2 linked regions of the Caenorhabditis elegans genome follow. The protein of the gene in region 1 interacts with the protein of each later gene in a pairwise test. Each region holds a gene or a part of one and is shown on either strand. Other genes may lie near its edges.

Region 1 (5,195 bases):
ATTGTGTGGCCACATCCTGAATTTTTATTTTTTAATTTTAGGAAAGGTAGCAAAAGCTTACTCAAAATCCTAGGAATATTTTCATCGGTGGCACTTGAGAAATCTTCGTTGCAAATTTCACACTCAATAAATGACATTTCGGAACTGTACGGAGGGTTGGAAAAATAAACGAATGGTCTTGGGAGTTCTCCCGCTGACACTGCGATAAGACGATAACAATTTGGTGACCAAGAATACACGGAAACCGGTAAATATTTTTTGCTGACTCATATCAGTTTAGATACACCATTTTCAACACTATTGCTAATTCTATGTGGTCAGTTACTACGGATTTCGTAATAGTTTTTCGTAAAATAAAACGTTTTCAGAGCCTGGCGCCTGCCTGAAACCTGCCGAGCACCTATAGCACTGTTTGTACGGGAGCGGGCTTATTTTAGAAAAATCGAAAAATCGAAAATTTTCGTTTTTTTTTTTGATTTTTCGAAATTTTTTTCTCTTATCAATAGAAAAAAAATTAGATAAAAATCGTATTTTATGATTAATTTTTAGATCATTTTTTTTTTCGATTTTTGGATTTTCCGGAAAATCGAAAAAACGTAAATTTTTGTTTTCCGATTTTCAAGTTTTCGAGACTTAGGCTTAGGCTTATGCTTAGGCTTTGATTTAGGCTTAGCCTTTGGCTTAGGATGAAGCTTAGGCTTAGACTTAAGCTTAAATGTAGGCTAGGCGGAGAAAAAAGAGATAAAAAATAAATCCTAGAAAATATGAGAACTCAGAAAAATAAAATACCAAAAAATTAGACATTTCAAAAATTTATATTGCCCGAAAAGGGCCAAAAAAATCAGGATTGGAGAGTTGAATTTTCGGTTGTTTATCGGTATTTGTACAAAGTAAAAAATGATTGAAAACTTTAAAACCAAAAAACTGCCTTGTTTGGAACATTCAAAGCCACAGGGTTATATTCTGAAATTCATGTACCTATAATACAAATGCTAAATTATCATTAAAACCTACATCTGGCTCCAGAGAGCTTGACATTGAAGCATTTGCCACATCTACAAAACTTCCTGACATTGATCTACCAACTTCCTTCCAAATCCACTTACCCACAGCTAACCTGTTCACTTCTGGAAAATTTAATGCTACATCAAACTGAATAGGCTCAACTTCTGTATTTTCCGAGTCATCCCAGAGCTGAATTTCTGAATTTAGAGCTAACAAATCCGCGTTGCTCATTCCCAGAAACGACTTTAATTTCTCGTTTTTCAATTTCTGGGTTTCCAGGGATTCCGACAATTCTTCTAGTAGTAATTTATTGCTAGCTGAATTGGATTCTGCAATTTCGCGTAGTTTTTGATTTGCAAGGGCTTCCTGGGCATCTAAGGTCTCTCGTATTGAGGTATAGTAGACGGATATCTGAAAATGTTCTGGAATTGTATTTCGTCCCCGTTTCAAAAAAAAATCACTAACCAAATCTTTTTTATCTTGAAACACCTTCCCATCTACTTGATTTGTTTGCTGGGCGCTGAAATTTCAGCGAGCTAAAATTGTGATCTACCGCTTTTTAAACTAACCTGTCAACCTCTTCAATGTTCTTGTCAATTTGAACAATCTGATCTTCGGACTTTAAAAGCTTATCTTTGAGCAACGTTCTCAATTTCAAAGCTTCCGTCTGTAGGAGGCCCTTCGAGTGTCCGGCGTGAACTCCAAACTCCTCGCAAGTTCGGCACATTAGCTTTTCGTCGGAGGAGCAGTTGGGGTCCTGGAAGGAGAATTAAGGAAGGTTCTCGAAGATTCCAGAATTTTTCTTAAATTTCCCAGAAGGTTCTAGATCATTCTAGAGTTTTTTTGAAAATTGCTAGAAGGTTCTAGAACATTCCAAAATTTTCTAAAATTTTCCAGAATGATCTAGAGCATTACAGAATTTTCTCGAATTTTCCAGAAGGTTCTAGAACATTCCAGAATTTTCTAAAATTTTCCAGAAGGTTCTAGAACATTCCAGAATTTTCTCGAATTTTCCAGAAGGTTCTAGAATATTCCAGAATTTTCTTGTATTTTCCAGAAGGTTCTAGACCATTCGGGAATTTTTTTTAATTGCTAGAAGTTTCTAAAACATTCCAGAATTTTCTCAAAATTTACAGAAGGTTCTAGACCATTCTAGAATTTTTTGAAATTTGCTAGAAGGTTCTAGAACATTCCAGAATTTTTTATAATTTTTTCAGAAGGTTCGAGAACATTCCAGAATTTTTTTGGAATTTTTAAGAAGGATCTAGAACATTCCGGAGATTTTTTTCTAGAAGTTTCCAGGTTTTTTTTTGAATTTTCTTAGATGTTCTAGAACATTCGGGAATTTTTTTTTAATTGCTAGAAGTTTCTAAAACATTCGGGAATTTTTTTAATTGCTAGAAGTTTCTAAAACATTCCAGAATTTTCCCAAATTTTCTAGAATGTTCTAAAACATTCCAGAATTTTTTCAAACCTTCCAGAAGGTTCTAGATCATTTCAGAGTTTTTTTGAATTTTCCAGAATATTCTAAAACATTTCAGAATTTTCCCGAATTATCCAGACAGTTCTAGTACATTCCAGAATTTTCTTGAATTTTCCAGAAAGTTCTAGACCATTCGGGAATTTTTTTTAATTGCTAGAAGTTTCTAAAACATTCCAGAATTTTTTTCAAATTTTCCAGATAAAAACTCACAAGACAAACGAACTCCGCCATATTATATTTATGGGTCGCGCATTTTGGCGGTACATCTGCTTCATCTTCCTGAAAAACTTTCTCATTAATTAAATTATCTAGTATATCGTACCTCTTCTACACGTTCAGTTTTCGTGTGTTCAATTATTTGCAGCAGTGCAAAATTCTTTTGCAGATCCTTTACCGCACTGACACTTGTTGTTTCCCGGCAGAATGGACAAGAAATCGCCGAGTTTTTTAGTAGTTTTGTCGCACAGCACTGACAAACCGAGTGGCCACATTCTGAATCATTTACCTATTTTTAGATTCAAGCTTCGTATTCGTATTTGACAGAAAAAAATATACTCACTCAAAATTCTTGGAACCTGATCTTCATTGACACTTGAGAACTCCAGATTGCAAATTTCACATTCGATAACTTTTGACATTTCTGGAGACTGGAGAATTTCGAGAAGAATCGGGGAAAAAACTAGAGAAACGACCGGGTGGCTGACTCCTTGTTGACACAAATTTCCAGTTGATAACGATTTTTACGGGCTCGTGAGAGTTACGCAAAAACTGATTGTAGTAGGTGGGCATGGTTTTGCCTAGGAAGTAGGCATAGGCGAGTAGGCGCCTGCCTGTCTACATATAGGTACCTTTGGCAAATGACATTTCAAGTTGTGTAGTAGGTATCGGTTTTGCAACTTATAATTGAGTTTGAAATGTAATTGAGTTTGTAATTGAGTTTGAATGTGTTATCTATTTTATGCTTATGACTCAAAAAGGATACAACTCGTATTTTTTAATGAATTATGAATCATACGAAATTCTTGAAAATACTCACTTTTTTCGTGCTTCACAAGGAATTATATAAATACTCTTACTAATCTATTTTGTTATCTAATGCTCCTTTAGTGACATGAAATGGCAATTTTTGAGTGTGAAGTTTGCAATGAAGATTATTCGAATTTAGATGAAAGTCGTGCTCCGCGAGTTTTAAGTGAGTTTTTTTTTGTAACTTCTGTAAAATATTTTCGAAAGTTTAGAATGTGGTCACTCGATTTGTCAGAACTGTGCAGTCAAACTAATCTCGAATTCTGTGATTTTGTGCCCAAAAAAGTGCTCTGAAACAACAGAGGTCCAAAATGGAAATGTGGAGAGCCTGCAGAAAAATTTTGGTCTGATGCAGGCTATGGAGATGATGGAAGCTAGTTCGAGTAACTCACCGCCAAAGTGCAAAGAGCATCGATATAATATTGCGGAGTTTTTGTGCAGTGTAGGTTAAGCTGATAAGCAACGAAAGTTTCATATAAATTTTTTGAAAGTGAAATTTATGGTTTTTTTTTGGGTATTTCTTAAAGTTTAATATCTGTAACACTACTGTTTTCAACTGAAAACACATAGTTGAATGTTCTTTTTGATAAGGAAAACATGGTAGGATATGAAAATTTCGAAAATTCTGAAATGTTTTAGAATATTCTGGAAAATTCAAGAAAATTCTGAAATGATCTAGAACCTTCTGGAAGGTTTGAGAAAATTTTGGAATGTTTTAGAACATTCTAGAAAATTCAAAAAAATTCTGGAATGTTCTAGAACCTTCTTGAAAATTTGGGAAAATTCTGGAATGTTTTAGAAACTTCTAGCAATTAAAAAAAAATTCCCGAATGTTCTAGAACATCTAAGAAAATTTTAAAAAAAACGTGGAAACTTCTAGAAAAAAATCTCTGTAATGTTCTAGATCCTTCTAAAAAATTCAAAAAAAATTCTGGAATGTTCTCGAACCTTCTGAAAAAATTATAGAAAATTCTGGAATGTTCTAGAATCTTCTAGCAAATTTTAAAAAAACACTACTGTTTTCAACTGAAAACACATAGTTGAATGTTCTTTTTAATAAGGAAAACATGGTAGAATATGAAAATTTCGAATTTTTTCAAAAGAAACTGAGACGAGCAAAAGTTAGCGCTAGTGGGAAAATGTTAGAAAAGACTCCTATGGAAAAATTTCAAAAATTTTTTAAAATGTTTTTTCTTGGCAAAACGTGGCAAAACTGAGAGTTTTCCAATTTTCAAAAATTTAGAAGTTAAAAAAAATTTAAACTATGATATTTGTGAATTTTGGAACCAGAGAAGTGGTTTTTAACAATTTTCCCACTGGCGCTACTCCATATTTAACTTCAAAAATTTTGTGTTCAAAATGCTTTAGATTATTTGAAAAATTGGAAAGAGTTGCGTGAAAATCAGTAATAAATTCTTAATTTCCAGGAGCACGACTGTCCCTCAATCGACAAACTAATGTGTAGGACTTGCGAGGAGTTTGGAGTTCATACAGGTCATACAAAAGTTTTGATGAGTGTAGAAGCTGGAAAAATTAGAGATGTACTGGAATGCAGGCTGAAACAGATGAAATTGAATGCTGAATCATTCACAGTGCAGCTAGAAGAATTTAGAGAGTAGGTTGAGAGATTAGAAGATATTTTGCAAATTTTCAATTTTTCAGAGCTATGTCAAATAGACAA
Region 2 (5,231 bases), on another chromosome or scaffold:
TAAAAATCCGCGGCAAATTTGCTGGATTATCAGAGCTCCGATCGTTCCAGTCGATACCTCAACCATTTGCACCGAGAAATAAATTAGCGCAAGGGCGACGAGCTGAAGGGTCCATTGAGCGATGTCATGGGATCTCGCGTCAGTTGGAGGGCCTCGCTTGTAGCAGACCGCCATTGAGATCAGAAGAACCGTGGCAAAGTATCCGATCACGTATTTTTGATATTCAATCATGATGCTTTGAAGATTTGACCAGGCGAAGTGAAGCATGTAAAGGGAGACTGACCAGCCACCAATGAGGATCGGAACTCCAATTGTTTTCTGAAAATTTGGAGTTTTTTGATGAATTTGCCAATATTTAGCAGAACCTAATTTCCCATACCTTCGGCGCAACACGCCACACAATAAATGCCACCAAGAGCAGTGAAGCGAGCAATCCGAAAGAACATCCACTGGTGTAGTAGAAGACGACATTTCTAACGAGCTTGCTGGCGAGCAAAAATAGCACGATTGCTCCGACGTAGACACCAACACGGAAATAGTTGACTTCTGGAAGAATTTGTTTAACGATTTTTTAAAAATAAATTCAATTTAATACTAACTCCAAATTAAAACCGATATTTCGTATGGTTCAGTTGTGGAGACGCCGACGATTGTGTCATTGAACGGATTTAACTGATGAGATCTGCAAAATTTAGTTTAATTGTTGGATTTTTCAGAATATTTTACAGCTAGAGTTGGGATACCCGAAAATCCGTGACTTTCTGCAAAATCTTCGATGAATTTACTAAAATCCTAGCAGAAACGCAAAAGTTTAATCGAATTTTAATTAAAATTAGACGGAAAATTCGGAATTATTGGCTTTCTTCTAACTTTGGGTCTGCTAAATATTTAGCATACCCAACTTTGGTGTGCTAAATATTTAGCAGACCAAAATTTCCACGTTTCTCTGTTGCACATTTCTATTTATCAGCGAAATCCAACAAATTTTTGCTGATTTATCATAAAATCTGTGTCTTTTTCGCGGTCCAAACCTCAAAAGTGCGGCTTTCCGTAAAATTCCGAAATAACGATTGTCATTATCGTAAAGCTGTTGAACAGTTGTGCAGTTTGTACCCTGAAACAACTCCATTTTATATTTTCGCAAGCATTTCCCGAGAACCTACCTGATAAAACTGATATTGATCCGCATTTGTCAGATTAGTCTGCAAAAAAACATCGGTAAACGCGTATATCGCGTTGTAAGGTAGTGCTTTCTGATAGAAAAAGTCGAGATTGTACGAGTAAAGCTTGGCGCCGACACGAAGGACCTGGTTTAGAGCTGAAAATTATTTTTTTTTTAATTTTGAAACTTTAAAAAAGTCTTACCTGCCGGTTTTTGCTCACAATCCTCGAATTTATAGGCCAAGCTACCCGCGACGAGTAGTGCGAGGGTCAGTAAGCGCATCTGCGCCGAATTTTTGCTGAAAATTCAGAAATATTTGTTGGAAAATTAGAAGATGGGGAGAAATTCAACCGAAATTCAGAGAAAAAACGTGAAAATTCACATGAAAATTCGAAATCTAGGTTTTCGCGCTGCCGGGTCCCGCCACGAAAGTATTCTGTGGACTCCTCGTGGACAACTTTCAGTTATTTTGTTTTGTTATCAATTTTTAGTTAATTTTCGAAAATTTCTGGAATTCGATTCCAAAATCAGAAAAGAATGATTGAAAAATTCGAAGAAAATCGAAAAAATTGTGAAATATCGAAGGAAAGTCGATATTTATGAACTAAACTTCGCCAAAAATTGATTTAAACTCGAAAAATTAACGATTACAATAAAAAAATGTCATAAATTTTAATTTAAATACGTTTTATCAAACCTGAAAAAATAAAATTTAAATTCAAATTTCCTTGCAACGACACTCCGCCGCACGCCTTGTTTAACCGAGCCCCTCTAAATTAAAAGGTTCCCCCTTTGTTTTACACTAAAGTGCTCATTTTTTCGCTTTCAATTGATTTTTTGACAGAAATTTCGTGTATTTTTACGAATTAGTGCTGAAATTTGAAGAAATTTGAAGAAAAAACCGAATTCCAGATCTCAAATGCCCGACAATTTATCGGCAATATTTGGAACAATACTGGATTATGCAGAGGAAGTAGCAGCGGGGACATCTAATGAGAGTACGTGTTTGAAAATCGAGAAATTGCAAGACATTGAGCAGATAAAAGAGATTCTTGGCGGAAGAATAATACAATTTCGGCGAAAATTAAAGGAATTTTGGTCTGCTAAATATTTCGCAGACCCAAATATAACTTTTTTTTTGAAAATACGGTTTTTAGAATTTTAAGTAGATAAATAAGCTAGTTTAAACATTTTTAATCTTAAAAAAATCAAGTTTTTTATGGTTTTTAAGCAAATTTTAGCTACTTTTGAAAAAAAAAGTGGCAATAAACACCAATTTACTGAAATTCCAGACGACGAAAGGCCTCCACGAACAAGTTTAACGAAAAAGCAACAAAAAGCCGTATCAATTCTGCGGAATTTCTCAACAAACGACCAGAAACAAGAGATCTCATTTCAAGAACTATCACAGAACGTTCTCGACGACTGGGACATTTCAAATATCAAATCTTCGTCGGTTCAGCAACTCGTTGAGCTCCTAAATTTGCCACGTGTACAGGGAGTATTATGGGCGGCGCAGGAAATTTCAGCCGGGCGGTTTGCTCCGCAGCTTCCAGACGTTCCGTTCGAAGTTGACGAGGATGATGGGGTCGCTGTGAAAATTGTGAGGATCGACGGTTTTTGTTCGGAAATTCTATTGAAATTTTCAAAATTTTGGAAAAATTGGCTAGTAAAATTGACAATTTTTTCAAATTTCCACTTTTATAAAATTCTATTGGTCTGCTAAAATTGGCTTGGGTCTGCTAAATATTTAGCACACCCAACTTTGGTCTGCTAAATATTTAGCAGACCCAACTTTGGTCTGCTAAATATTTAGCAGACCCAACTTTGGTCTGCTAAATATTTAGCATACCTAACTTGGGTCTGCTAAATATGGGCATTGGTCTGCTAAATATTTAGCATACCTAACTTGGGTCTGCTAAATATTGGCAATGGTCTGCTAAATATTTAGCAGACCCAACTTTGGTCTGCTAAATATTTAGCATACCCAACTTGGGTCTGCTAAATATTTAGCATACCTAACTTGGGTCTGCTAAATATTGGCATTGGTCTGCTAAATATTTAGCATACCCAACTTTGGTCTGCTAAATATTGGTTTGGGTCTGCTAAATATTTAGCATACCCAACTTTGGTCTGCTAAATATTTAACAGACCCAAAAATTTTATATTCCATTTCATTTTTCTAATTTTTTGTTTCAATTTTCCAGGTGCGAATAGTGCGACGTGGCGAACCCCTCGGTGCAACAATAAAATGCGAACGTGGCAAAGTATACGTGGCACGAATAATGGCGAACGGTGTGGCAGACCGTAGTGGATGTATTCAGGAAGGCGATCGAGTATTGGAGGTCAATGGGATTACTGTAGCGGATAAGGAGCCCAGGGAAATCGTGAAGCTGCTGGATAAATGTGATAATGGAATTGTTAGTGATTTTGTTTTAAAAAATTCGAAAAAACAACAATTTCCTAGCAGTTTATCACGAAAATCAGAGAAAATTTGTAAAAAATCACATATTCGTATCGTCTTGTATACCTGAAAATTGCTAAAAAATTCTGTATTTGTTAAAAAACATTGAAGATGGATTTATTATAATTTAAAAAAAAAACCTGAAATATCAGAAAAAATTTGCATTTTCTCAGTAATTTGTAACTTTTAGCCTGAACTAAAAAAGTTTTTAAGAAAATCTATAAAAATACACGTTTTTTCTCAAATTTCCAATATTATTTTTCAGATAACCTTCAAGCTGATCCCTGCAGAAATAAACCAGAAGTTAAAGCAGAAAAAGTCGTCACATCGGTATGCCCGAGCTTTGGTAAGTGGTTTTTTCTAGTTTTTCTCAGAATTTTAGTCCAAAATTCGCAAATTTTTCAATTTCCAAGTAGAAATTCCGTAAAAATAGCCTAGAATTCTTCCTAGTTTTCAGTTCGACTACGATCCATGGCAGGACAAACGTCATCCCTGCCCAGAAGCTGCAATTTCCTTCCGCGGCGGTGATATTCTAGAGATCCTCGACGAAAAGGACCAATATTGGTGGCAAACTCGAAAAATCGGATTCGGAGCACTGGCGAGGCGGAAAGAGAGTCATGATGACGAGAATCGAGATGATTCCAGTGAGAAAATTGCGCTCTGAAATTCCAAAAATAATGATTTTTTCAGAAAAAGTGGGTCTCGTACCGTCGGAATGGCTACAGTGTCAATCGGAAATTCCAGAAAATGGAATAGATACTTCAGATGATTTTCAGTCATTTTTAGAGGTATAATTTTGGAAAAAGGGTTTAAAAGTGACTTATGACTTCAGAAAAATGAGAAAATTTAATTTTAAAAAAATCTAATTCCACGTGGTTTTTATCCAGATAATTGGAATTTTGGAGATCCAGAAAATTCCACTTTTGCACTTTTTTTCAGAATTTTCTTTAAAAAGCGTAGTTTTTTTTTCAATTTAAACGCTATAAAATATTGGCAACACTAAAGTCCAATCGGATCCTTAAAAATTCAAAAAATCGAAAAAAAAAGTGGAATTTGAGTAAAAAATCTATTTTTTGCGAGTTTTTGAACATAAAAATGGATTTTTCGTTAATTTTTAGGTAAAAAATAAGAGAATTTTCAGTGGAAATTTAGCTAAAATGGCGATTTTTAACGTTCACGACTGAAAATTGTGGGGTTTTTAGCGCGAAAAATCGATTTTTTTGGGATTTTTTAGGTTAAAAATGGGAATTTTCAGTGAAATTTAAGTAAAAAATCAATTTTTTGCGAGTTTTTGAACAGAAAAATGGATTTTTCGTTACTTTTTAGGTAAAAAAAAGAGAAATTTTTTCATTTAAAAAAAAACCAATTACACGTGGTTTTTATCCAGATAATTGGAATTTTGGAAATCCAGAAAATTCCACTTTTGCACTTTTTTTCAGAATTTTCTTTAAAAAGTGTAGTTTTTTTTCAATTCAAAGCTATAAAATTGGCAACACTAAATCTCGAATCGGATCCTTAAAAATACGAAAAAAATCGAACATTTTTGCGATTTTCAGAATCACAAAGGACGCTTCTACGAGAGTGTATTTCGATGGAGAAATAAGA

Evidence for each region.
Region 2: the proteins of ZK1240.1 (region 1) and magu-1 interact in a two-hybrid assay, tested with the Caenorhabditis elegans proteins (2 studies listed by BioGRID).

Annotation. Positions count from the first base shown.
Region 1 is NC_003280.10:2,327,462-2,332,656, reverse strand, and holds ZK1240.1 (RING-type domain-containing protein), read right to left. Parts: upstream 3,266-5,195; 5' UTR 3,127-3,265; coding exon 3,048-3,126; intron 2,981-3,047; coding exon 2,811-2,980; intron 2,768-2,810; coding exon 2,699-2,767; intron 1,763-2,698; coding exon 1,575-1,762; intron 1,526-1,574; coding exon 1,471-1,525; intron 1,417-1,470; coding exon 1,107-1,416; intron 1,056-1,106; coding exon 1,015-1,055; intron 964-1,014; coding exon 943-963; 3' UTR 797-942; downstream 1-796. Other genes in the region: F43C11.8 (RING-type domain-containing protein), read right to left, coding at 1-16, 62-137; ZK1240.8 (RING-type domain-containing protein), read left to right, coding at 3,605-3,680, 3,727-3,956, 4,942-5,129, 5,177-5,195.
Region 2 is NC_003281.10:468,546-473,776, reverse strand, and holds the start of magu-1 (MAGUK family), read left to right. Parts: upstream 1-2,074; 5' UTR 2,075-2,081; coding exon 2,082-2,160; intron 2,161-2,454; coding exon 2,455-2,765; intron 2,766-3,369; coding exon 3,370-3,582; intron 3,583-3,891; coding exon 3,892-3,972; intron 3,973-4,083; coding exon 4,084-4,270; intron 4,271-4,316; coding exon 4,317-4,414; intron 4,415-5,182; coding exon 5,183-5,231. Other genes in the region: nemp-1 (Nuclear envelope integral membrane protein), read right to left, coding at 1-318, 380-546, 600-682, 1,032-1,114, 1,164-1,318, 1,366-1,444.